Danio rerio: one gene and its partners. The protein of the gene in region 7 purifies or fractionates together with the protein of the main gene of each other region. This does not show direct contact. Links are inferred from orthologs where the notes say so. Each region holds a gene or a part of one and is shown on either strand. Other genes may lie near its edges. The genes, in order: polr2h, si:ch211-140b10.6, gpn1, polr3c, polr3g, uxt and polr3b.

Region 1 (3,934 bases), on a different chromosome or scaffold from region 7:
AGATTTGTAGTAATTTGTGCTTCGAATCTTTGAATTTCGTGGTTAATGGGAAATCGCTGCATTATTTTTTTAGTAACGTTTATTAAAGTAATATTAACATAGTAATAGTGACAAAGCACTTGTTTTAATATTGATATATGCTAATATTGATAAACAAATAACAATTAAACAAAACTAAGAATTTATGAAAAAAATGCTTTATTAAAACAATCATGTTTATTCATAATTTAAATTCTCATTTAAACTATTTATGGTTATGAATAACTAAACTAAAATAAATAAATTATATATATTTATAATATATTTTATATTTACTTACTAACTTTTATATTCATATTAACCTTTATTAAAGCAATTTTACATGACAAATATTACATGCATTTCTGTACATATTTATAACATACAAAGTTGTATTTTAATATGTATTGTTAAAAAATTATTAAATTATAAATATGTACACAAAACATTAATAAATACAAAGTCAGTTTTGACAAAGATAATAATAATAAAAATAATAATGATGATAATAATAATTTTATTAATGATAATAATAATAATAACATATTATGTATATGCATAATATGTTGTTATTATTATTATCATTATTGTATATATATATATATATATATATATATATATATAAAATATGCATTAATCTGGTATTTATGCAGGTATGTTCACTATTATGGAGGACGGATTAGAATGTGGACAGATTAATAATTAAATTAATAACATGGTTATGGGGCATTTATTTGCGTATTAATTAATTTATTATTTTATTTATGCAGAAATGTGTATATTAATTAATTAATTAATTTATTTATTAATTTGCGTATTTATGCATTTATTGTTTTATTTATACAGGAATTTGTGTACTTATTTATTAATAAGTTAGTTAATTTATTTGCTTATTTATTTTTTTATTTATGCACGAATTTGAGTATATTTTTATTTATTTATTTATTTGCGTATTTCTTTGTTTATTTATTTATTTACTTATTGTTTATGCAGGTTTAATCCTCCATATACTATTAAATAAACAAACAAATAAATAAACAAATAAACAGGCAAAAAAAAAATAAAAAGATCGAATACGCTACTGTCGTAAAAAGCGCGCCACGAACCGGAAGTAGTAGTGAATCAAGTGACCAGAGACGAAGCACATTGTTTCGCGGCATGTTTCATATTTGTGTTGAACGAAAAGAAAGTTGCTTCATTTTACAGTAGTTTTATTATTAATATTTCTGAGCTGGGACGAGTTTACGCACAGTGTATCTGCAGGAAGTGCACCAGAAAGCGCTTATTCAAAACAGCATTCAGCAGGAGAGTGTTTGAATGAAGCGTCTCCGTCGAGTTTTGTGTTGATTTCTACATAATTTAGTTTTCAGCGGGATTTTAATTCACCAAACTGAGCATTTAGTGTATCCTGCTGGAGTATAAATGGCTGGGATTCTGTTCGAGGATATCTTTGATGTGAAGGATATCGATCCTGATGGGAAGAAGTTTGACAGAGGTGATTCATTCATTCACTTATTTATTTACTGGATAAAACAAAAGTCTCTTCAATGTGTTTTATAACGTTAGTTATTGATAAAACTTACAAACAGCATGAAGATTTAGATTGAGGAAAAGTTGGTTTATATTCGCACATTCCTTCATTTAACGTTCTCCATGCTCACATGTAAATCACATGTAAACATACATGACTTCACTATTTAAAGTTTGCAAATTATACTTTTATTTAATGATATTATTAAGGAGAAAGTCTAAATGTGCGTATATAAAACTACCTCAATAAGGTTTATTTGTTGGTTCGATTATTTATCACACAATAATAATTAGACTTATTGTATACTTATTAATACTACTTTAATGATGGAAGTTGAAGAGCTTAAAACTTTTTAATTTTTAATTTAGCTCATTTTCTTGATCATATATATTTAATATTTATTTTAAATGGAAAAATATGAATATATTAAATTAAAAATGTATTTTTTTACATTGTCAATGTCAATTTAAATGCAAATAAAACAATTTTATTGTTATTACTATTATTAATAATATTAATTATTATTTGAGATTTTTTTAATATATATTCTCTTTAATATTCTTTTTGTTGATGCTGCCTAAATAATATGCAGTGATCAAAATTAAAAATAAAATCAAAACATACTGCGTAAAAGGCATATCTGAAGGCAGAGCCGTTTATTTAATTACTGTTTTTATATATAGAGGTAAAGTTGGTTTTATATTTGCACATTCGTTCATTTTGCAGTCTCTATATTGTTGACCATGTTACTTTGAGTTTTCGATCGGAATTAGCACGCAAGTATGACTTGTAAACAACATTAACACTGTTTATCTGAATGTGAACAATGTTGTACTTTGATAGTCATTTGCTGCTAACATGATTTCCCTATATTTAGTATTGGCAAATAATACTTTTTCTTAAAATATTATTAAGGAGAAAGTCTGAATATATCCGAATATAAAACCAACTTTACCTCTGAAGATTTTTTTTTATCATACAATAATAATCAAGCTTATTGCATATTTATAAATACTACTTTAATAATGGATGTTGAAGAGCTTAAAGTTTTAATTTAACTTGTACATTTACTTGATCATATATATTTAATATTTACTTTAAATGGAAAAAATATTAATATATTAAATAAAAATTAATAGTATATTTTTACATTGTCTAAATGTCAATTTAAATGCAAATAAAACAATATTATTATTACTATTAATAATAAGTGTTTTTAGTACTTAGAATTTTTAAATCTATATTCTTTAATATTCTTTTTGTTGATGCTACCTAAATAATATATAGTGATTAAAATAAAAATAAAATCAAAACAAACTGCGTAAAAGGCATATCAGAAGGCAGAGATGTTTATTTAATTACTTTATTTATTTATTTATTTATTTATTTTTTTTTTTTATAAATCAACCACTATTATTTTTCCCCCCTAAAAGTCTAGAATTCACTAAACACTCTTGATTTGTTGTTTTGTATTTGTGATGATCAGTGTCTCGTCTTCACTGTGAAAGTGAGTCTTTCAAGATGGACCTCATCCTGGACGTCAACATCCAGATTTACCCTGTTGATCTTGGTAAGTCACTGTTCTTGCTCTCTGTGTTGTTCTCTGGGCTGCATAGAGGTAAAGTTGGTTTTATATTCACACATTCAATCAATGATGTCATGTGCAAACAACCTATAATCCATTACCTTTTTACATTTTCATATTGTTACTTGTCTACTTATCTGTTAATTTGGTCATTGCATAAATAAATGATTAAAAAAAACAAACAAATAAAGTAATTTCTCCAGTGTTTTGTTCAGACGAACGAAATTGTATGATTATAAAAAAGGAGGCGTGGCACCTAACCCCACCCCTAAACCTAACCGTCATTTGGAGATGAGCAAATCGTACTAAAATGTATGAATTAGATCGTTCGAATTCGTACGAATTAGCCACTAAATGAAAAAGTTACGAATTGCCGTGAGATTGTGTTGGTTTTATCAGCACTCCAACAGTATTTACATGTTTTTCCGGTATCCTGCTGCCCTAGTGATGATAATGTTGTGTTGCTGTCATATGCTAATGAGGATGATGTCATTGTGTCAGGTGACAAGTTCAGACTGGTGATCGCCAGCACTCTTTATGAGGACGGGACGCCGGACGATGGAGAATACAATCCTCAAGACGACCGGCCGTCCAGGTCATACATTACTCCTAAACTAAATCTTAGATATTTCATGTCTACGATCAAATCAAATCAGGCCTTTATTTACACATACACTTTCGTATAGTGAAATAGAACCCCAAAAATGTAAATTAATTACTAATGACATCATTAAAGTTGTTTAAATGACTTTTCTAGTGTCATGACTGATGGGCAACTTTTTTTAATCAATGAGGAATTG
Region 2 (4,021 bases), on a different chromosome or scaffold from region 7:
TTATTGCTCACAAGTGACTTAGAATTAAGATATTTGATCAAGTTTTTTTTAATTATAAGCATTAAAACATAACACTATGTATTAATAAAAATTCAGACACAAACTATATCCAAGACCATTACAATAAGTGCAAAAAGCCACATCCAGAAATAATATTAAAACAAAAACATAACAAGTAAAAATATTAAATTAAATATAACTAGTAATAAAAAAAAAAGATTGGCACACAATCAGACTACAGTGAGGGATCAGTACCAGAAAAAAAAACTTCATGAAATCTAACATCAAGTCATTTTTTTGTTATTAATTTGCATTAGAAACTTTTTCAAAGTTTCCATTTCTAATAAAAATTAATAGCATTTTGGTATACACTTCGCAAACTTCTGTTTATGAATAAAATATTAACCTTGTAGCATGTAAAAATTAACAACATACCAACATACTCTAATGAGTGTGTGTGTGTGTGTGTGTGTGTGTGTGTGCGTGCGTGCGTGCGTGCGTGCGTGTGTGTGTGTGTAAAGAGCAAATACAATCTTTTAACATGTATTTGCCCAAATAACACGTCACTAACATCATACTAAAATGTAAGAGACATCACAGTTATAGAAAAGATGTGATAAGTGTGCAAGTATTGTCAACATTCATGTATTTAGATAAGATAAAAAGAGATTAATTGATTTATTTATTATTTTATTTATTATTTTTTTATTATTATTAAACAGCAGCAAATATACAATTTAAACATGACATCCAAAACTACAAATGTAACCTATAACATAAAATAAACTAAAATATAAATTACATAAGTTAAATAAATAAAAAGACTGTAAAGATATTATGTCATGTAATGCGCTTTGGGATCATGTAATGACGTAAAGAACCGTCGGAACATGTTGAACTGTTCCATTCAGAGCTGCTGTTCAAATGAACCATTTGATGAAATGACTCTGATTTTTTCACTACCGTTCGTTTGACAGGCTGCAGACGGCGCTGTTAGTCGAATATCAGTTGTGACCATCGAGATGCCTGATTAAAGTGCGATCGTAAAACCTATTATTAAGTCAAATAATAAACTAAAATAGACTGTTTAAATGTACGTACTTTTTGTTCCAAGTGCAGATAGTTTCTACATTTTTAGTTTGAATTTTACTGTCTGCTCACTTCCGCAAATTTAGTCAAAACTAAGATGGTCAAGCGGACCGGGGTCCTAAATTGGGTCCTCGAGAATAGTAAACACTAACGTTACTGGTTAGCAAGCTGGAACAAGCTATAAATTAACAGTGACTGCGGTTTAAGGTTAATTAGATCATGGAAGACAGTGAACTGGAAAGGTATGATATTTCTAAATGTCAATTTTCCCCCTTTTGACCAGTTTATTGGACTAGTTTACGATGCAGAATATGCTAACGCCCTCGGCTTCGTGCAAATTGGTCAGTAAATTTGTGTAAACCAAAACCTGAGACGAAGCACCATACTTTTGTTATATAGCAAACATTTCGGTATCCTAGAAAAGTCTATTTTGCACCGTCAGAGATTTAAACGTGCTATTTAATTTGGGGTCACGGTAATACATAAATTAACCCGTTTCTGTCGTCAAATGTCTCACTGTAAATAATTTCCCCAGAAAAGCAGTGGAGGAGCTCCTTAAAGAAGCGAACAGAGCAAAAGCCCGTGTCGAGACAATGGGTCCTGCTGGATGGTAAGTTTGGATCACTAAATTGATAAATTACAGATATTTAAAGTGACCAATTTGAAGTCTTTTTCTATTATTAGTAACCACTATTGCCCCCACTCTTTTACACACACGCGCACACACACAAGGGTGTAACTTTGGTTTTCGGATGTGAACTTAAACCTGTGTATGTATATATACAGTACTGAGTACACCCCTTAAAGATCTGTATTTTAAATTAATATGTAGTATAAAATGCTTTACAGTAATGCATTTTGCACAAACTCTTTAGATTTTAAGGTACAAAAGCCAAAACTGTGACTAATCAAATATGCTTTTCACAATAATCAATATATCGACTTATCGCACAACACATTGACATGACATCTATCATTTTTGGTGATGTAATATATATTGCCCATATATAAAAGTCAATTCTAGCAACATTTTAGCTGATGGTGCAACCTCTTTATGTTACTGTAGTATATTTTCATGCAGGTGTCTGACAACTGAAAATAGATCTGGTAGCAGATCTTGCAGCCTCTGTTACTTTTTACATTGCACTTTTTACTACTATTTATTCAGGATATGTGTTTTCACATGCTGATTCCCCTGCCTCATTATTAAAGTTAAAATGACTATAAATTAAATGAAACATCCTTAAGAATAAAATATTATGTGGTCTTTAGAAGAGTGTACTTGCATTTTGATGTTATTATATTGTCATTTTGGCATTATATAATAAGTGGCATAAAATGGTCTCAAAATGACAATATTGTTCATCATAATATATGTTGGTGCAATATATCATACAAGAAAAAATAGATATTATGACAAGCTTATAATTAAAAAAAACTATTTAAGATCACAGTGCAAAAATCAGTACACCTTAATTAATATACTGGGGGAAAATATTAAATAATATATTAATAAACGGGAAAAATACTTTTTTTTTTTTTTTTTTGCAAAAACTTGTTTGATTGTAAGTGTATTATTTTCTATCCTCGAAGGTGTTAAATGACTGAACCATATAACTGTTCTGTTTAAATAAACCAAAGATGATTGGCTGTATTCATTGGAAAATGGCTAGAAGAAATATTTATTTTTAATTGGGTGTAATCGTTTTTACTGGTGTTTTTACGGGAGAATCTTGTGGGAGTGCGGTAACAAAAGTGTCAAATGACTAATAATTGTAGAACATTTGAGCTGGCTTCAGTCCTTAGTTCTTTCATTTTCCTTTTCATTTTATTAAAATATATGTATTTAACTTGTTTGTTAATTAAATACAGTTCTGTCATTTAACCTATTATTTTTATGCAACAGTCAAGTTGCATGCTAATTTGCTCTGTGAAGGTTACGCGATTTATGTTTAAAATGTTGGTTATCGTCCTCCAAATCAAAAGATGTATGTACAGTATGTATGTATGTATAGACATTTACATTAGATGTTGCCTACGCTTTTTTCATCTATTGAAAGGAATTTGTCGATAGAGTCGCCATTTTAGTACAGGGTAGCGCTTCTTTAAAATGAATGTGGGTTCAAGGTGCAGCGGAGGACTGGCCATCCATATATACACATATACACATTTATTTACGATCGGGGGGTTTTCCATTGGTCAGTATGCAAATATTTTATGAAATTACAAAAATTATAAGTTTACATCACTTTTCTATATTGATGGATAAATGATTGCATGGGCATTCCTGGCAAAGAGTGTGTGATTGTGTGCATGGAAATGTATTATCTACCCTCCCTGTTTAATTTGATCTAATTCATGTCCTTAAACACACCCCCTCTCCTGCTTTCACTTTTCATTCCAACGGAGGGAGGGATTCGTTTGTGAATGAATCTCTGTTAAGAAGGACTTGATCACTTAGTTGACAATAATACAAGTTTTCACAGCAGCACCTTCTTGTTATATTTCATTTACATTGTTATCTCATTTTATTCAACAAAACTAGCATAAGTCTAGAATTGAGTGCCAGTTTGTAACATACAAAAACATAAAAAACGAAATCTTACCTATGAAATGTTCTGCCTTTGTGCTTGGTTTTCTTTGTTTGCTTGTTACTACACCCGTAAGCAGTGCTAAAGTCCAGCATCTTCACATTGGCTTTAGTCTTGATTAGTGCAGTTGAATGATGTCCTGGGAGCACTGTACAAATGTGGCGGCGCAATTGACGCATGCTCAGGAACCATATGCGATAGTGTATATATCTATGGAATGTATGTATGTATGTATGTATGTATGTATGTGTGTAATTAACTACTATATATGTCTCCTAAAGCTGCTTAAATTGCCGTTTTGTTTTAGGATGAAATGTCCACTGGGAAGCACAAACAAGCGC
Region 3 (4,056 bases), on a different chromosome or scaffold from region 7:
CCATGAAGAAGAGCAGAGCCGTATGGAAAAAAACACAAGTCGTCAGTGTTTGTGTTGATGCAGACAAGATAGATATAAGAGCTATTTTTGGTATATACAAACGGTGCCAGTAAATGCTTTTTAATCTGACTCAGGTCTCTCAGTTAACGACAAAAGCAGTAACAGAGAAAATGCATACGACACATATGTTTACTTATTTAATAATACTAGGTAGATAATTCTTGTAAAGAAACATTTGAGGTCATATTTTTGAGGTCATAAGTAAAACTAAATATTTTATGACAAATACACTTTTATTACTCTTCTAAATGTGCATAGATAAATGAAGACAAATAATGCATTACATGCATTTACATTTGCTTATTATTATTACTATTATTTTATTTTTTATTTTTTTTAACTAACTTAGATAATATTTTCACATCAATGTTCAGCATCGGGCCGACATTGGATTTTGCTAACTTTCTAACGCAACCTAAAAACAACAAAACATTAACGTCTAATGATGTTACATGACGTTGTGTGGACGTTATGTGACGTCTATGTTGGATTTTGGTTGCCATACCTGAGGGATAAATGTTAATATTTGACGCCAATATGGCGTTGGTTTAAGATGTTGGCTCGACGTTGGATTTTGGTCACTTTCCAACACAACCTAAAATAAACAAAATATCAACATTTCACGTCATTATTGGAGGTCAAAATAGCATTGTCCTTGAACGCTGGCGACCTAAATCTAACCTAATATTTACGTCTTATGATGCTGTGTGTCTGCTGGGTTGTGTTAGTTTAATTATTGGATTATTGTCGCTTTTTTGCAGGGGAAATGCTCACACCCATTTAAAGTAAAGACACACACACACACACACACACACACACAATAATTTCTGTGCTGTAAATTTACAATTGTATTTTTCCACATTACTGCAAAATGCTGACATATATGGATATTGATAATTGTTATGAATTCATTAATTTTCTTATCGGCTTAGTCCCTTTATTAATCTGCGGTTACCACAGCGGAATGAACGTTTTACGCAGTGGATGCCCTTCCAGCTGCAACCCATCACTGGGAAACACATTTACGTTCGAACCACTCGAACCCCCCTGTTATATTTATAAATTTGCTGATCATTTTGTCATTTAGTCACGTTTTATAAAGAGCAAACAAATCCTATTGACTCTGCTGCTCTCTAGTGGTCATAAGTCGCTACGCCAGAATGTTTTTCGTCTCTTTACGTCAGTAAACATTACTTGACGGTAAGTGTAGCAGCATGGCGACAGCAGCAGCAGGAAACAACGATGGAGCATCATGTGAAAGTGATAACATTAAAAATAGAGATCAAGATGATGAACCGACACCGAGCCAGAGTTCGTCTAACGAACACAGTACAGAACCGAAACCGGTGTGTCTCATAGTTCTGGGCATGGCAGGGTCAGGAAAAACTACTTTTGTGCAGGTAAGACTGACAGCGATACGATGGTGATAACAGATGTCTTAAATTATAATGATTTAACATTCACTTGACTAGATTACGATTCTGCCAATGTTATGTGTGATAATTGTGATGAGATAAACTGACAGTCGCCCAACTCCAATACTACGCATTAACTCGAGTCAGATTTTAACAAATTTCAAGTCATTTCTTTTTTTTTTCTCCAGAGGCTCACAGCTTACCTGCACTCCAAGAAAACTCCTCCATATGTCATCAATTTAGATCCTGCTGTTCACGAGGTCCCTTTTCCTGCCAACATCGGTAAGTCACATTAACGTTGCCCGTATTTCTATATAACTAAACGCTGCTGTTTGTTGATCCAGAGCAGGTGGCGCGAAAATCACTCACAGAGACCAACGATGACAGGATTAGTACATTGTTTACTTTTTTGTTTTGTTTTAAGAAACGCCAGACTAATTTGATAAAAGCTGTTGAATTATTGTCAACATGCATAATCACGTTGTTTTTGTGTGTGTTTAGCACTTTTAATAAAAACTAAATAATACACAAAATATTCTAGTGTGCACGTGTTTAATGTGACAAGACGTACGATATTTTAAAATAAAAAAATACTAGAACAATGTTTTGTATTTTGCTGAATTTTTACTATTTTTTACAAAATTGTGCCCAAATGTTTTAAAAGAATGGTCAAATCTAGAGAAATAAGCAGTTTTAGCTAGTGACATGGATCATATCCTGGGCTGCCTTCCACTCCACTTTTATGCCTTGTTTCCACTGAGTGTTATGATTCTGTACCCATCACCTTTTGGCCCATTTCCACTGAGTGGTGTAGTTCGGTTCTGTATGGGTCACCTTTTGGCCAGATTCCACTGAGTGTTATGGTTTGGTACAGTGCTTTTTTTGTTCATTTTCATTGGCTATTTCTCAATTTCAAGAACGCAGAGAACAGACTTGCGTTCTAGTGAAGACTGGTCTTGCCAGGTCACCTCAGAAGAACGAACTCAGGAGACCACGAGAACACGGAACATGTCCTGTAAGAAATGAGATGCTGTGTTCTTCCTGATGGTCTCATGACCTTCATGCATTTTTATTGGAAATTATTTAAACATTACAGCATTCAAACAACGATTTATTGTTTTTCCCCTTTTCACAATATAGACCTTACAAGCATACATTACACAATACAAATAAAACAGATTTTAATACGAATTTCAGCAAATAAACACCCTTAATGTGTTTACGCCTTTATTAAGATTTTAATGTTAATGCTTACTTTCACCGTCTCATTTAGGGAAACTCCTGAGATAAATAAGTTCTCTGAACTTTAATAATAAATCTATATAAAATGCTGCACTTCCCACCTTCAGTCACTATGACTTCTGGGACTTCTAGAGCGAGGTCAGTGCTCAAGTCTGCATCGATACCAAGAACACATCTACAAACTTTCACTCGTCCTCTGGTCTTGAGGTCTTGAGTTTTGGAACTGAACTTTGGCAGTCGATGATGACGTAACACAAGGACACAAGACCGCTGAAGAACGCATATTGAGAAACGGCCACTGTCAAAGGTACCAAAAAAACTAACCGTGCCCACCACTTAAAGGGGGAAGCCAGAGTGCAGCCAAATGCTATTGGTTTACTAGCACTTGCCACAAGCCAGGAGAATGAAAACACAAGAAGAGGCATTTTTAAATACACAGCTCAGATACTACAAAGTAATAATAATGCATATACCCGAGCTTAAACAAAAACAAAGCTTGCCATCCTTTTGTGACAGCCACATGCCAAGAAGCAAGAACAGAATCTGCTGTGTCTTCCATTACTGTTCACGAGGTCGTCCAAAAGCATGTAGAAAGCAAGGCTTGTTTTTGTTTTGATACCTCTGACAGTGGAAATGCACAAAAAAAAGGTATATAATACTATACCGCACCTAACCACTCAATGTGAAAGGGTCATTAGGCACACACTCACAGACTTCCCTTCCCTTGTTCCCTTGGGGGAATCCTCATTTTAAAGTGTGTTTCAATTCAAGTGAACAAGGGAAGCTTATACGGACATACTTATGATCCCTCGATTTTGACCAAAGCAGCGAGTCTCCTACATATTTCCACTCAAGCGTCTGCATGTCCTAAAATATCCTATATTTTTTCAGTTGGAAAAAGTGGATCAGAATCTGCAGGAACTTCTGGTTCACGCTGACTTTATTAATATATGGAAAATGATATGGATTAGGTTAATGAGTTATGATATTGTTGGACTTAATGAGCTATTGTTGAAGTTTTGAGAACATTTTAACATCCAAAAAAATTGCAGCACTGTTAAGCCAGAACTGTTTTTGATGCAGTGGCGAGGCCAGAAATTTTAAAATGAGCCAGTTCCACCTCAGCCTCTATGAAGGTTTTTGATGTAACATTTAGATTATATTTAATCTTTTGCAGCATGTAGCACCACATTTTCTTTCGGGATTTGAGATCAGCCAATGGAACGGCAAAAAATTAATAACTCTGGGTTGTTTTTGCCAATTTAAGGGATAGTCGTTAACATTTCCTAACATGTACTCAATTTCTACTGTTGAACCCAAAACAAGATATTCTGAAAAT
Region 4 (4,169 bases), on a different chromosome or scaffold from region 7:
CTACTCATCCTCACCGGGACAATCTAATGACCTACTGACACACTGACCACCAAGTGCTAAATGTTGACGTTCATTGCAGAATTTGTGATATAATTTACGGCAAATGCGACATTATAAACAAGTAAAACAGAAACAGAAACATTAGCACTCCGGTTTCACTTCTGAGAAGAGTTCAGTGTCGATGTGATTTAAGGACATTTCTGAAAGTTTCTAAAAGCTGACATTAATAACTGAACACTTATCAAAACTGAACATGTCGTGAAATGTGAAAAAGTCATCATTTACAGTACAAAAACACAAGAAATGAGTGTAGCATTGGTGCTAAACACAAAACCTGTTGGTTTCCGCTTATGTTACGTTAACAAGCACCTGTCTAACATCTAATAAAACCGGTCATCGGTAAATACATGTGTTTTTTAGTGTTTATACACAAACAACAAACCACGACAGGCCTTTCGCCCACATCAGGCTGATACACTGCTAACATGCTAACTTTAGCACAACAGCGGAACCTGCGAGAGCGACAGCAGAACTACAGAAAGACATTAACTTGAGCCGGCTGCGCGCTACCAGCGACACGGACTCACCGGTAGTTTGGGACTCACTTCACCCTTACAACAGTGACAGAAGAAGCGATGCGGAGGGACCGCAGCAGCCTCCGCCATGTTTTCTGTGAGACTGCCTGTGTCCCAAACAGCAACAGCAGCAGCAGCGCTGGCCGAGCGTCGGTCCGCCCACTGCAGAGGGAGGTGCTTTGGCAATGAGCACTCAGTAGTGCGAGTCATTGAGGCGAGTCGACTCACTCAGGGGAGTCGTTTGACTGAGCTGATCAAAACAACATACTGAGTCAAAATTATTTACATAAGGCTGTGTGAAGTGTGCGTTTTACTAGTATTACAGGGATCAGAGAGGGCTTTATTCGAGAACAATGTAAAATTAAAACAAAAAAAGACCATTACATATTATTATATATGCTATTATGTCAGTCTAATATTATATGTTAGCATGTAATTCACCTAATTGAACTTTACTCTGATAATTGTAGTTCACTCCAAAAAAATATTCTTCTACCTACAAACCTGTTTGACTTCTGACAAACAAAACAAAAACTACTTAAATAGTATTTTTTCCTGAAACTGATATTTCCTAACATTTTTTTTTTCAAAATACCCTTTTGTTTATTCAAATAAAAAAAAGTAATTTCATAAAAAACACCCGAGTGTGAGTAAACAGTGATTCATTTTTCATTATTCATTCGGTTCTTTTGATCCGCAAAAAGATTCCGTTCATGATAGCGATTCACTCAAGCTTCACACACCAGAGCTCCGCCTCCACGTGATCAAACCACGGAAATTCGTCAGTGCTTGTCGTTGCACACCGTCTGGACAACACACGTGAGATCAAAAAGTGTGAACTCATCTAAATAACACATACGGATATCTAGATAACTTACTTTTTAGAGGTAAGTTTGTCTTTAAGCATGTGCATCTGTGCTTTGTTTAGCCTTTGTGAGATGTTTGCTTTGTGGAAAGGCCAGACAACAACTAATTCTGCGCTAATCCAGTGTTAGTAGCCAGTCAAAACGCAAATATGAATGTTTACTTTTGCACTTTGTTGACAAAATGTTTTGTTTTTAAACTGATGCTTTTAGTTATAGCTTGTGTAGCTTGTGTTTCTAGTAACTCCATGTATAGTTACAAGACTTTACATGTATTTTTGATGGTTACAGGTAAACGTTACAGATTAAGGAGGAAAACTGTAATATTAAAATTGTGAGCAGTTTTATTAATAAGGAAATGTGGGTAGACCATAAATAACACGAAATCATGTATGTAAACATTAATAACTGATAACATATTAGTCAACATATTCATCAAAGTTGATTCACTAAATGTTGACAACTGTATGCACACATTGAAAAATGATTACATTAAGTGACTGAACAAGAACATCAAGTGCATGAACAATATTTGATTTGCCTTTTTAGTTGCTGACCTATAGAAAACTACATATGAGGCATATACAAAGGTGCTCTGTACAAATTAGATTTAATGATTTCCAAATATATGAGACATTCTACCAGAAACATACATTTTTATTTATAAAATAAATGACAGGGCCTGACCTTTAAGCTTGTCTTCCTCAAAAAAATAAATAAATAAATAAATAATTAAAATAAAAAATAAAACAGTTTAATGATAGAATGTATCCTTGATGTCTGCTTCCCCATCAAATGATGCCACTTCCAAGTCATAGCCTTAAAGGTGTATAGCACACATTTTATGTTAAATTTAAGGCAAATGTGACAGGACTGACAGAAACATGGGGACAATTGTAAAAGTATTTGTAATATATATTTGTAGTAATTATTTGTAGACTTTATAATTTCATGTTTTTAATCAGTTTACGTGTATGATAGCAACTTAAACTTGCTATTTCTGAAGTTTTTCTTTTTTCTAAATAACAGTTTTTAGCATCACAAAATTATTAAACCTGAACGTTCAATTTGGCTGAGGACAATGACAAGGTTTGTACATTTGTAAAGTGTTTTTAATAAAGAACAAAAATCTGAGATCCTTACAAAAATCTTACTTTGCCTGGTTCAGCATATTGTGTGCTGTTCTGTCTTGTTATCCATTCTCAGCATCTCTGGTCTCTGTTAAAATCCCAGGCTTTGTAATATTTTCCCACAAGTGACATTTTGGAAATTGATTGCAATGCGTTTTGTGTGCAAGTCTGAAACAAGAATAGGCTGGAAAAAAACTAATTGTGCAATTAGAGCAAAAAAACCAACCAACACTAGTTTGCAAGTTGACATGTCTAAAAAGAATTATACATTATTCATAGATAAATTGACTACAGATTGTGATTTGATTGTTGCTCTCTGTCCTACAGATGACAGCACAGGAGGTGCGTCTGTGTGGGCTGTTGCTGCAGGAGCACTTTGGTGATGTGGTGGAAAATGTGGGCACTCATCTCATCCGCAATGGAGTTCTGACCTTGAGAGCTCTTGCCCATGAGACCAAACTGGCTCTTGACCTGGTAATGTCACTATTTAAAGCTTTCTTTGATAGCTTAAAAAATAAGATTCTCTTGGATGTGTGGTTTGTTAGGATAGGATATCCATTGTTTCCAAAATCCAAACAGAATAAAACTATTAAAAAAAAAAATTGGAATCTGAAATGTTTATATTTTTTAAGAGCCCATATTATACATGAAATAGGGCTGTAAGGGTCTCCAACAACAGTCTAATATGCATGCAAGGTCAAAAAACACTTTCATGGTCTTATAATTTGCATTTATTTTTACATAATTATCCCAGCGACTACCATATGAATCGTCCAGTGATTCATTTGTTCCCAAACCCCTCCTTAGCTTGAAACTAATCTGCGCTGATTGGACCGATGACAGTCTGTTGCGATTGGTCGACACTGACTACCTTCAGCGAGAGACAGTGAAATGCCCAGCAGCTAATCAACAATATAGAAGTAGTCACAGTGCATACACACTTCATATTGTAAGGTGTGGATTTTAGCTGCCAGTGGGTGAATGTAAATACAGGCGATGGACTTGAAAATACCAACGACTAACTATTTTATTGAGCAAAAACTCCAAGAATTGGCGAGGAGATCTCCTAGCTTGTCACACTCTGCTCTTTTCACACACACACACACACACACACACACACACACACACACACACACACACACACACACACACACACACACACACATAATCCTCCTCCGGACGACAACGCGCACACACACACACACATTACCCTCCTCCACAGAGGTCCGCAAACAAAGCGGCACGCGTCACATTTTTTAACGTGGCTTTGCACACGATACGAGAATATAGCGAGTTAACCTGATACAGTACAAGCGGTTATAAGTAACAAATCATAACTAAATACATTTGCAAGCTAGAGTAAACGAGGCAACAACTTTAATCGCACGTACTTACACTTAAGAAATGGAGGAAGAAACCGATCCATGTCCTGGCATGTCCATCAGCAGTCTTTACTGATCCTTTCTTTAACAAACGACCGATGAAGTATTCTTTGTAGCATGTAGTTTCCAGTAGTTTCCAACTGCTCAATGCCGGGCTAATGCTGAGGTTTCATCTTTGGGTAGAGACTCAATAATTTCCGTCTGCAGTCTGACTTCAAT
Region 5 (4,089 bases), on a different chromosome or scaffold from region 7:
CTAAATAAATAAAAAAAAGAGGAAACCAAACACATCAGAGTTGCTTGTCTCGAGAACAATTATGCATAGATTTCCTTAATGCATAATTTAAAATACTGTTAAAAATAAATAACAATAAATGACTGTAAATTACAAATAATTAAATAATAAATGAATAAATACATCCTTTATATAAACAGTGCATTATGCCCTGTTTTATGTTCTTGCATTTACAGTTGCATAACAATTAAATACACTACTTGAAACTATTGATTTAATTAAGTTTTATAGTTTAAAAGAAAATAAATTACATATGATTGCTCAAATTCATGTAGCAGTTCAATAATTCATTTTTTTTAATCCACCTTTCAAGAAAATCTAAATTAACATATTTGAAATGTTATTTTATGTGCATTACTGAACAATCTCATTCTGTATTTTATGAACATTTCCTGCTTGTTATCAAACTATTTCATAACTGTAAAAGAGGCACTTCAACCATATCATAATGTTAAAACCGCTGTCATAACATTATTTATCAATATGTGGCTCTTTTTGGATTCTCGGAAGCTATACAAGTTAAACATGTAAAACAGGAAATATGCTAAGACCATTGTTTTTGTTTACATCCTTCAAAAATACTACAAAGGGACATATTATATTGATTGACAGTTTTGCATCACTATTCATGACATCACCATCCAGTGACATCACAGTGTAGTCCTCACATCCTCATAGTGTTTAGCATGTATAAGCAATATGGATTGAAAAGTAGTCAACAACATCCTAGCTATTGGTTCTTAGATGCCAGCTAACAAATCTTGACACTATGCAATTAAAACGACATGTATCTCACTGTTATATTATATTACATAATATTTGCTTGTTGGGCGACGCAGTGGCACAGTAGGTAGTGCTGTCACCTCACAGCAAGAAGGTCGCTGGTTCAAGCCTCAGCTGGGTCGGTTGGCATTCCAGTATGGAGTCTGCATGTTCTCCCAGCATTCGCGTGGGTTTCCTCCGGGTGCTCAGGTTTCCATAACAGTCCAAAGACATGTGGTACAGGTGAATTGGGTAGGTCAAATTGTCCGTAGTGTATGAGTGGGAATGAGAGTGTATGGATGTTTCCCAGGGAGGGGTTTGGCTAGAATGGCATTCGCTGCGTAAAAACATGCTGGATAAGTTGGCGGTTCATTCCGCTGTGGTGACCCCAGGTTAATAAATGGACTAAGCCGACAAGAAAATGAGTGAATGAATATTTGCTTGTTTATTAAACTAATATAAAATTATTTCATCCAAATGATTTTAGAGAAAATTTATCTGATCAGAAATGGCTGGAAAGGGAAGAGGTGTAGCAGCATTCTCCTTCAACATAGAGTCCCTGGGTCTAACCAGAGGATCCATGCCTGAAACCCAAAGAGGACCAGCTCCACTCTTCCCAGTGAGCTATTCTGAACCATTTGTTATTATTCTTCCATCAATTTCCCAAATGGATATTTCTCTTTCCATCCATTCTTTCTCAAAACTTTAAAAATCTGATTCAGCAAGGTCAGAAAGTGTTTATTCAGAAGGTTCAGTTTTAAAGACACACGACTCCACCTTACAGCAAATCGAATATAAACCGGGGCCTTTGAAAGCTGGCGAAGATGAAGATTATATGAGAGCTTTGAAACAAGAGATGAGAGGACGAATGAAGGACCTTCCTTTTAACATAAAGCACCATGCAGGAAAGGGAGGTGAGATGGAGCTTTTATTTAATTTTAGGAACACACAATACCTATTGCCTCCTACAACGAGTCTAATAATTTAGATAATTGTAAAATTAGATGAGTATGAGTTAATGCACTGGGGGCAATGCTATGTTTTAACTCACCTAGAAACAATAAATCCATTTAACTATATGTTTAAGTGAAATAGTATAACTGATATGGTATAGTTTGACCATGAGTCACAACTACTGTATATGAAGAGTTTGGATGCAAAAAAAGTGTTGTCTGAAATTTCCATCAGAAATGAACGTTTTTCTCAGCCTCTTTTTCTTTTTTATTTTGTAAGATATTTTACTTTCAAGACCAGGAAAAGGGCTCATTCTTTGCCATAAAAGTGATATTACTGAACATACACACAGGAGACTGATAAAAATACTCATTTTAGATGAAAATTTCAGATGGCATTTAGAGGTTTTTGCATCTTAACTCTTCATATATTTATTATTGTAAGCATATCAGTATTTTTCACGATGTTATTGTGTGTGATTTAAAGATGTGGAGAGGTACAAGGAAAAATACACGCGGGAAATAAAGAAACTTGAAGATGAAGACTGGACACCAGGTATTCATTTAAATGAAATAGGCTAAATAGGGCTGGGCGATTTAATGGAAAAGTAATTGAAATCGAAAGCTTTAGAACCTATAATCGATATATGATTTATAACGATCTAATTTTTATAGGTCAGTTTTTTTTTTTCAATTACTTTCCCTGTCATGTGTGGAGTCATGTGACCTCGCTCTGTTAGCCACACTTTGCAGCCACATCTGATCTCTGGTCAAGTAGGACGATGGATCCATTCTTGAGCCATACTTTGGACTATGTTGACGATAATTGGAAGCTGTGCCAGAGATGCCTTGATGGCATATTTTCCATTACATTCAAATGATTATTTACATTAAAATATTTGTTTATAGAAGATGCAAGAAATGCCCTGTTTAAAATATTATTTACAGGATATGAAAGTTATTTTATTTAGAAGAGATACTGCTTATTTCCTACTTTTTTATATGAAAAACACTGAAAATATTTTTTTTTGTTTTTCAAATAAGTTATTTTCACTTTTTATAAGAAAAAAAGTGACTGTTTGTTTTAAACAATGTGTGTTTTAATTTTAGTTGTTCAACATTGATGTTCAATAAATAATCATAGATAGTAGATAGTGTTTCATTCAATTATTATTATTTTTTAAATCAAGTAATACACCCTTCATTCAAATATTACTTACTTGTAATATGTGAGCATATTTACTGTAGAAAACCTGTCAGTGAACCTTGAGGACAAAATAATAAAACAAATTAATCAAATATTTGGTCATTAATGGTAATAGTTAAAATGTTTCTTCAAATCGACCAGCCCTAAGGCTGAGTAATTTCAACTAAATTGTAGATATTCTTTGTAGATTGGAATCGTCTTCCGAAGGAGCTAAAACCACAGAAGAGCATAAAGAAGAAGAAAAGGGGTAATTGTATCGAGATGTAGAATCCCTAAACAAACTGCAGTTTTGAATGACTCATACACTTAAATACTTTCAGATCTGAAGAAATCCGTAAAAATCTCTACTAAGGACAAAGAAGAAGTGCTGAATAAGTTGGATGTGAGCTCGTGCTGTTTTCATCTTCTCGATTTACTGTAAACAGATATTTTTGGTTGGAGCCATCTCATTTGCGCTTGTTTTTATTTCCAGGAACTTGAGAAGAAGGGAGATGTCAAATCTGATGAGGAGGATGAAGTGAAGAAAGAAAAGAAAGAGGATGACGAGGAAGGAGAGGAAGCAGAAATTGAAGGAGACTATGATGAAGAGTTTGAAGAGGTATACGCTTTTATTTCAGGGAGCATTTTTATTTATTGTTTGTTGAATACATGTAATAGGCATCCAAACATGGCTAAAACTTGGCTAAAATAAGGCTACATTTGACCCTTGACACGTCTTACATTTTACTTTTCTGTCAAATACCATTAAGATATTAAAATTGATATTAAAATATGAAATTGATATTAAGGATTTTTTTCTTTGGTAAATTTCCCATGGTAAATATATTAGAATCAAGTTTGGTTTAATGGATATTGCTAAGCACATAATTTAGTCAAATTTTAAGGTTATTTTCTCAATCTTTTGATTTTTACAATCTCTCAGATTCCAGATTTTCAAGTAGTTGCATAGACTAAATCATCTCAAACTGAATTCCTGGAGGGATGAAGGTGTTCATGACTAAATCTGGAATATGAGGGTTTGTAAAAATTTAAATATTGAGAAAAAAACCTTTATTGGGTTTGAGACCTATGGACTAAATATTGTCTTATCCCAGGGGTGTCCAAAGTCGGCCCTGGAGGGGCAGTGTA
Region 6 (3,947 bases), on a different chromosome or scaffold from region 7:
TACAACTGGGATTGACAACAAGACTTTTGTCGGGCAGTGTAGAACAAGAATCATTTGATGACATTGTACTGAAATATCAGTGCAGCCCCCAAAATTAATTGATTTGTTAATTAGTCAGGTTTTATAAAAATTCTGAACTTAGGATTTCTCATAGTTAATTACACATGTTTATTTATTCATATAAAGGGTACTTGGAATATTTCTACACTACTTACTCAGCAATCAGAACTGATTTTATTTTAATTCTGAACGTAACAGATTGATTGATGTTGTTTCTGAACTCCAGATAGTGATTATTGTTGTTTAATGTATCTGTTTATATCTAAACACCTGTATTTTTGATTCTCACCTGTCAGACACCTGCTGCAGATCCACTTTCTTCTCATTATGGATGAGTTTAGTGATGTAATGCCGCAAAACTCCGACGAAGAATGTGATGAAGACTATGGGCAAAACAACCCAAAGGCGAATACTGGAGTCTAGCAGCAGCTCTGGACCTGCCATTTCTATGCTGACTGAAATCGAACTATAAACACTGACACTTCTAAAGTTTTTTTAAATGAATATTCAATTCTGGAATTAATACTACGATGAAAAGTCAAACGGTGGTGTAACTACATAACTTTTAGACACATTTCTGTATGAACATGCGCCATTTGAGCAGCTGCCGTATGACCTTTGAACTAGTAGCGATTCAAACACGAGTCGTTTTGATGAGTCGGATCTTTGAAATGAATTGTTCGAATCGTCTTACACCGGTTTAGGTGGTTTGTGCACGAAATGAACACTCTGAACCGAGTCTATTTTGTACCGAGTCACTTTAAAACTTGACAGTTTTTATTCGCAGACATAGTAAATACAGATATTTTATGAAATTGGGTATATATAGCTCTAATAAAATCTTTGAAGCAATCAGGTATTTTAATTAACACGTTTTGAATGAGAAAGAATTTGTTGGAAGTTGCGTCAACGCTTTAAATTATATTGTATTTACAAATATATTTGTCTTATTGAGAGAATTGTTCTAATAGGTAAACATTAATTAAATAAAAACGAAACGTAGATGTTCATTATAGGAAAACTATAAAACAAAAGTTTAGCTAACGCCATTTCCGGTTTAGACCGAGGACGTTTCCGCGTATCTTGTAAACAAGTGTGGAGCCACGTGACAGACCGAAGGAAGGTTTAGCTTCATTTAACGTACTCGATACTTCATATATTTGCTACTACAATATATTAATCTGTCATATGTAAGCTTTAATCGCTGCATCAGCCCAGCGACGTGCTGTTAATGTTTGATGCACATTAATATTAGAAACATCGATTGCTATTAAATAAAACTTCGATCTGTTATCATCTCATATCATGACTTCTGGCACATCTGTTATTAATGACAAAGTCTTGCAGTATGAGACATTCATCAGTGAAGTATTAAGACGAGACCTGCAGTAAGTATCATTTAATATGGATATTTTGCACGTACACGAAGCTGCCATGGTATTAACGTTACCATGCTTGTACGTTAATTCCATACAAATACAGCTCTATGCTAATCTATATTGTTTAAGCTAATCTATTATGAAATGCTACTATGTGTTCTGGAAACATTATGTACGCTTGTCCAAAGTACTTGTTTAAATGAGCTGAATCAACACGATTCTTGAGTTTTTTTTAGCACAACTACATTTTTTTATTTCAGTTTACTTAAATTTGTAAAAACAATAAAGTTAACTTGATCGATTTGTGTTGGGACAAGATGAAGGAATTAATAACCCTGTGGAACCCAGTATAAGGAACACTATAGTACTTTATTGTAATTTTAATGGTGTTTTTAAACAATACTATAGTAAAGTGAATTGTACTATACACACACCAGCCACTTTATTAGGTACACCTTTCAAGTCCCGGGTCGAACCCACTTTTGCCATCAAAACTTTCTTAATCCTTCGTGGCATAGATTCAACAAGGTACTGGAAATACTCCTCGGAGATTTTGGTCAATATTGACATGATAGCATCACGCAGTTGCTGCAGATTTATCGGCTGCACATTCATGATGTGAACCACCAGTTCCACCACATCCCAAAGGTGCTCTATTGGATTGATGTCTGGTGACTGTGGAGGCCATTTGAGTACAGTGAACTTATTGTCATGTTCAAGAAACCAGTCTGAGATGATTTGCGCTTTATGACATGGTGCGTCCTGCTGGAAGTAGCCATCAGAAGATGGGTACACTGTGGTCATTAGGGGTTGACAGCAACAATACTCAGGTAGGCTGTGGTGTTAAATAAATTATCCCCCACACCATTACACCATCACCACCAGCCTGAACAGTTGATGCAAGGCAGGATGGATCCATGCTTTCATGTTGTTGATGCCAAATTCTGACCCTACCATCTGAATGTGGCAGCAGAAATCAAGACTCATCAGACCAGACAACGTTTTTCCAATCTTCTATTGTCCAATTTTGGTGAGCCTGTGTGAATTGTAGCCTCAGTTTGCTTTTTTATCTGACAGCAGTGGCACCAAAGAGTGGTCTTTTACTGCTGAAGCCCATCCGCCTCAAGGTTTGATGTGTTGTGCATTCAGAGATGCTCTTCTGCATACCTCGGTTGTGACGAGTGGTTATTTGAGTTACTGTTGCCTTTCTATCAGCTTGAATCAGTCTGGCCATTCTCCTCTGACCTCTGGCATCAACAAAGCATTTGCACCCACAGAACTTTTTTTTCCCTTTGCACTATTCTCTGTAAACCCTAGAGATGGTTGTGCGTGAAAATTCCATTAGATCAGCAGTTTCTGAAATACTCAGACCAGCCCGTCTGACACCAACAACCATGCCACATTCAAAGCCTCTTAAATCACCTTTCTTCTCCATTCTGATGTTCGGTTTGAGCTGCAGCAGATCCTCTTGACCATGTCTGCATGCCTAAATGCATTGAATTGCTGTCATGTGATTGGCTGAAACTTTCGTTAACGAGCAGTTGGACAGGTGTACCTATTAAAGTGGCCGGTGAGTGTATGTATTATATTATTTAGTATATGTAAGTATATAATAAATATTGTGAACTGTTAAACTGTAATGGTGTGCTTCAGTATTTACTATAGTAAACCCTGTAGTTGTAGAAAACCACAGTATTAGTTGTTTGTTTATAATGCTATAGTTGTGTTAATAACTATAAAGTCACCACAAAATATTAATTCAAGTACTATACTATAATATGATTCAAAATACTATAGTATTTACAATAAATACATTAGTATTTTTTCATGTAAGTTCTTTTTGCTCCACCAGGAAAGTGGTGGAGCAAAAGAGATGCTGTGGATGAGAAAATACGGCAATACCTGCAGCTGAAGAACACAATATAATAAAATATAGTTCAAGAACACTATAGTATTTACCATAAATTACTATAGTATTTTTTCATTTGAGTACTCTCTGCTCTGCCAGGAAAGTGCTGGAGCAAAGAGATGCTGTGTATGAGAAAATCGCACAATACCTGCAGCTGAAGAACACAATACAAAGCATTCAGGTATGTGAGATTTGCATATGTATTTGCATATTTTGTGCTTATTCTTATGTCCTGACTTATTTGTTTTCAGATATAGTTTGTGCTGTGTAAAAAATTTTTACATTTACTATTACTGTCCATCTCAGTTGCTCTCATTCTGCCTTGTGCGCTTTTAATATGTGGCTGTGTTTGATTCACCTTCAGGAAAGCGGCAGCAAAGAACTGAAAACCGATGTTGACCTTGGCTGCAATTTCTATGTGCAGGCTCATGTGTAAGTGTTGTTTGCATGACGTCTGTGGTGCTGTGCGTCAGTGGAGATGTTGAACATTTTTTGAAAGGGCAATCTCATTTCTTTTTTTCCAGACCTGATGCATCAAGAATATATGTGGCAGTCGGATATGGATTCTTTGTCGAATTCACGCACGCAGAGGCTTTGAA
Region 7 (3,500 bases):
TTAAGTTTATTTATTGCTGTATTGTTTCAATATATATTTTTTATTGTTTTAAATTTTGTCTTTACATTTTAGATTAATATTTATTTTACATCAAATTAGTTTCCTTATTTATTCACAACATTATTTTTGTATGTGAGAATTTACTTTTCATCCATCCCTAGATATCTCAATATCTACGTTGGGATGCCTGATGTAGAAGAAAGCTTTAATGTAACCAGACCAGTGTCTCCACATGAGGTAACATCTTTGTTGATCTGTGCCAAAATTTACTAATATTATAGGTGAAACGCTTTATCTGTCAATTTTAAACTTTTTCATAAGGTATGTTTTCAGTGTGATGGAAAAGAAAACATCCAGAATACACTTAAATGGTATTTTGTCACACTTTATCAATTTTACATAAACAAAATACATTTTAAATACAATTAATATTTAAAAATGCCGTTTCTCAAAATTAGTATTTTCCTCCTGCACTGAGCCACTTTAATTAATAACTATATTCTGAAGGTTTTTACAGAGGGATTTGTTCATAAATAATTTGGCTTATTATGTGTTTTGTTTGACCGCAAAATTGTGTAAATAATTATTTTTCTCTCAAAAATTCCCTCTATTAAAAACATTTGGCTCCAACTGAAAGCAATTTGATTCTGACTTCATCCAGTTTTCAGATGTTGGTGATTTGATTTTAATTTGATTCATTTATTTTGAACAGTATAATCCACTCTTAAAAACAATAGTTCAAGCACAAATACATTACATCATAATTAACAGAACATCTTCATATGAGCAATTCCATGTAGATGTCAACCTTGCCATGAAAAAAAGTTTTTACCAAAATAATGAAATCACTTCTACATATTTATGTGTAGGCAAGTATTTTACAGTTTAAAAATGCTCAAAAATGTCTTTGAAAATGTTTTCAAACAAATATTTTTGAATTACCAAAGTCACACAAGTGGGAATTTTACATCGGCCACATCCATAACGGTGAGATGTCAAATCCATAGCCAAGCTTTTCCCTCATAAATTTAAACTTTTAAAATAAATAAATGATTTTTGTTTTATAGTAAACAACTCTTATCTTTTGATTAGCATAGTTTCTTTTGGGCTGTGCAGTTTAATTCACACAATTTCTACAAAGTGTATTATTAAGAGTTCAATGCAAAACTCTCTAAAGTGCTGTCTGAAATTTCCACAAAAATGTAGCTTTTTTCAGCCTCCTATGTTTATTAGCACTTTAAAGACCATGAATAGAATTTGTTTCTTGTCATAAAAGGGAAATTACTGAACCTACACGCAGGAGCCTGATAAAAATGCTCATTTTTAAAAAAAATTTTAGATGGCATTTAGAGGTTTTTGCATCTAAACTCTTCATATACTATCTATGTAAATTTATATGGCCAATTTGCATAATTAAAAAACATTTTATAAAACATGATGCAAAATAATCCTTGTAATTCGTAATATAAACATTCAACTAGGGGAAAAGGGTAACAACTAGGGCTAAACGATATCGTTTGAGCATCGATATTGCAATGGGTGTATCTGCAAGAGTCGCATTGCATTATTTGATTATTGATTAAAGGATAAAGATATTATTGTATAAAGGTATTTATACAATGTTAACCATGTCACTTAACATTTGGTTGTTCAGGTTTTATGTTTTAATACTGTTAGACTCCCCCAAAAAACCATAAAGCACCTTTTTTTCACATTTATGTTTGCTCTGTCATTTTTAAATGTGCTTGTAATATATTGTTTTTAAGATGATGGACTGCATAGAAAAAGCCTTGATCACCCTAGTCCAGGGGTACCCAAACTCTGTCCTGAAGGGCTGGTGTCCTGCATATTTTAGTTCCAGTCCCTATTAAACACACTTGAACCAGCTAATCAAGCTCTTTCTAGGTATACAAAAACATCCAGGCAGGTGTGTTGAAGGAAGTTGGAGCTAAACTATGCAGGACATCTGCCCTCCAGGACAGAGTTGGCACCCCTGCCATAGTTGATCTAATTAATGAAATCTTTCCTAATAGAGCTAATCAAATCATCTGGTGAAAATATGTTCATACTGCAATATATATTGCAGCAAAACAAAATATTCGCAATGTCAGATTTTTTCAAAAGCATGCAGCCCTTGTAACAACACCTGTAGTTTCTTGCCTTGAGACAAACTTTAATAAAGCAAAAAAATAGGATTATACTGTAACATTTGTTTAATATGATTTTGCTTATGGATCACTAGTGTCGTCTGAGAGATATGACCTATTCAGCCCCCATCACTGTGGATATAGAGTACACCCGAGGCAGTCAGAGAATCATCCGCAACGCTCTCCCCATTGGAAGGTACTACATCTGGCCTAAATCTTTGCGTACACCTCTTAATATGCATCTACTTTTCCCTTGCAACTTCAAATGCTCTTTGTCTCCTTGTTTAATAGGATGCCAATAATGCTGCGAAGCTCCAACTGTGTCTTGACAGGAAAGACCCCAATGGAGTTCTCCAAGCTCAACGAATGTCCCCTGGATCCAGGTAGATTATTTATGAAGACCTTAATGATATTTCACTGTTTATATGCCATAGTATAATGCAGAAAATCCCCTCTGAAGGCCATATGGGGTATACGTATGATACTGTGTTTGTCTGTGTGCAGGTGGTTATTTCATTGTGAAAGGGCAAGAAAAGGTCATTCTCATTCAGGAGCAGTTATCCAAGAACCGCATCATTGTGGATCAAGATCGCAAAGGGACCGTAGGAGCGTCAGTCACCAGGTGCTGGGATTTGCTCGTCTGCGTATTTAGCGTTCGCAATAATAAAGTTGATTTAAATTGGTGCTGTTATGCTATGTTTGGATGCTAACTTTTATGTATTGTGTAGCTGAATGTGAAATGAAAAGATAATCGAACTGTTGTCTCCAAAACCAATTGCTGGTTTACTGAATTGTTATGAAGAATGTTAATGTAGGTTTGTAACAAATTAGCATTCTACCCATTAAGCTTACGATGGCTCTGATATTTTTGTAATAATTTCTGAAGATATTATCGTGGTATATGGTATGTTTACAATTTTGAGAAGCTAAATAGGGGAATTTTAAAGGGATAGTTCACTCAAAAAATAAAAATGTTAATAATTTAGACACTTTTTGTGCTAAACACAAAGTAGGATGTTTGAAAGAAGGTCAAACAGGATTTATCATCCACACACTGCCATAGTAATTATTTTTCTAACTATGGGGGTAAATTGGTTGAGAGATCTATTGATTACTTGACATTCTTTCATATATCTTCCAAAGATCTTTCTTTGAGTTGCAGAACAAAGACATTTATATAGGTGGGAACATCCTGAAGGTAAATAAATGATCTTTTTTTGGTGAACTGTTCCTTTGAGAGATGTAATAACAAAAACATCTTTACATTGTTGCATATTTCTTTATTGTATGTACATTTTCAGAGTTAGCTAAAGTTTGAAATGCAAATAGGATTATAAAGTACAGTAGTTAACA

What was found.
Region 1: the proteins of polr3b (region 7) and polr2h purify together in Homo sapiens (affinity purification with mass spectrometry; 5 studies listed by BioGRID and IntAct, with this or other methods). This does not show direct contact. The link is inferred for Danio rerio from reciprocal best matches to the Homo sapiens genes POLR3B and POLR2H.
Region 2: the proteins of polr3b (region 7) and si:ch211-140b10.6 purify together in Homo sapiens (affinity purification with mass spectrometry; 6 studies listed by BioGRID and IntAct, with this or other methods). This does not show direct contact. The link is inferred for Danio rerio from reciprocal best matches to the Homo sapiens genes POLR3B and POLR1D.
Region 3: the proteins of polr3b (region 7) and gpn1 purify together in Homo sapiens (affinity purification with mass spectrometry; 4 studies listed by BioGRID and IntAct, with this or other methods). This does not show direct contact. The link is inferred for Danio rerio from reciprocal best matches to the Homo sapiens genes POLR3B and GPN1.
Region 4: the proteins of polr3b (region 7) and polr3c fractionate together in Homo sapiens (co-fractionation; 4 studies listed by BioGRID and IntAct, with this or other methods). This does not show direct contact. The link is inferred for Danio rerio from reciprocal best matches to the Homo sapiens genes POLR3B and POLR3C.
Region 5: the proteins of polr3b (region 7) and polr3g fractionate together in Homo sapiens (co-fractionation; 4 studies listed by BioGRID and IntAct, with this or other methods). This does not show direct contact. The link is inferred for Danio rerio from reciprocal best matches to the Homo sapiens genes POLR3B and POLR3G.
Region 6: the proteins of polr3b (region 7) and uxt purify together in Homo sapiens (affinity purification with mass spectrometry; 3 studies listed by BioGRID and IntAct, counting the BioPlex papers as one, with this or other methods). This does not show direct contact. The link is inferred for Danio rerio from reciprocal best matches to the Homo sapiens genes POLR3B and UXT.

The regions. Positions count from the first base shown.
Region 1 is NC_133197.1:38,621,830-38,625,763, reverse strand, and holds the start of polr2h (DNA-directed RNA polymerases I, II, and III subunit RPABC3), read left to right. Parts: upstream 1-1,134; 5' UTR 1,135-1,440; coding exon 1,441-1,513; intron 1,514-3,035; coding exon 3,036-3,119; intron 3,120-3,635; coding exon 3,636-3,729; intron 3,730-3,934. UniProt on the Homo sapiens protein: DNA-dependent RNA polymerase catalyzes the transcription of DNA into RNA using the four ribonucleoside triphosphates as substrates.
Region 2 is NC_133199.1:25,556,467-25,560,487, forward strand, and holds the start of si:ch211-140b10.6 (protein POLR1D-like), read left to right. Parts: upstream 1-1,221; 5' UTR 1,222-1,308; coding exon 1,309-1,331; intron 1,332-1,624; coding exon 1,625-1,699; intron 1,700-3,987; coding exon 3,988-4,021.
Region 3 is NC_133192.1:13,860,909-13,864,964, forward strand, and holds the start of gpn1 (GPN-loop GTPase 1), read left to right. Parts: upstream 1-1,256; 5' UTR 1,257-1,427; coding exon 1,428-1,460; intron 1,461-1,663; coding exon 1,664-1,757; intron 1,758-4,056. UniProt on the Homo sapiens protein: Small GTPase required for proper nuclear import of RNA polymerase II (RNAPII). May act at an RNAP assembly step prior to nuclear import.
Region 4 is NC_133191.1:14,591,516-14,595,684, forward strand, and holds the start of polr3c (DNA-directed RNA polymerase III subunit RPC3), read left to right. Parts: upstream 1-1,369; 5' UTR 1,370-1,462; intron 1,463-2,895; coding exon 2,896-3,042; intron 3,043-4,169. Other genes in the region: rnf115a (E3 ubiquitin-protein ligase RNF115), read right to left, coding at 588-785. UniProt on the Homo sapiens protein: DNA-dependent RNA polymerase catalyzes the transcription of DNA into RNA using the four ribonucleoside triphosphates as substrates.
Region 5 is NC_133180.1:52,724,112-52,728,200, forward strand, and holds the start of polr3g (DNA-directed RNA polymerase III subunit RPC7), read left to right. Parts: upstream 1-1,289; 5' UTR 1,290-1,309; coding exon 1,310-1,420; intron 1,421-1,585; coding exon 1,586-1,715; intron 1,716-2,241; coding exon 2,242-2,310; intron 2,311-3,148; coding exon 3,149-3,213; intron 3,214-3,281; coding exon of another isoform or gene 3,282-3,289; coding exon 3,290-3,343; intron 3,344-3,433; coding exon 3,434-3,559; intron 3,560-4,089. UniProt on the Homo sapiens protein: DNA-dependent RNA polymerase catalyzes the transcription of DNA into RNA using the four ribonucleoside triphosphates as substrates.
Region 6 is NC_133183.1:10,253,194-10,257,140, forward strand, and holds the start of uxt (protein UXT), read left to right. Parts: upstream 1-1,147; 5' UTR 1,148-1,365; coding exon 1,366-1,448; intron 1,449-3,447; coding exon 3,448-3,529; intron 3,530-3,712; coding exon 3,713-3,780; intron 3,781-3,872; coding exon 3,873-3,947. Other genes in the region: zgc:86609 (ER membrane protein complex subunit 3-like), read right to left, coding at 350-504. UniProt on the Homo sapiens protein: Involved in gene transcription regulation. Acts in concert with the corepressor URI1 to regulate androgen receptor AR-mediated transcription. Together with URI1, associates with chromatin to the NKX3-1 promoter region.
Region 7 is NC_133193.1:16,768,184-16,771,683, reverse strand, and holds part of polr3b (DNA-directed RNA polymerase III subunit RPC2), read left to right. Parts: intron 1-161; coding exon 162-237; intron 238-2,242; coding exon 2,243-2,343; intron 2,344-2,438; coding exon 2,439-2,530; intron 2,531-2,651; coding exon 2,652-2,769; intron 2,770-3,500. UniProt on the Homo sapiens protein: Catalytic core component of RNA polymerase III (Pol III), a DNA-dependent RNA polymerase which synthesizes small non-coding RNAs using the four ribonucleoside triphosphates as substrates.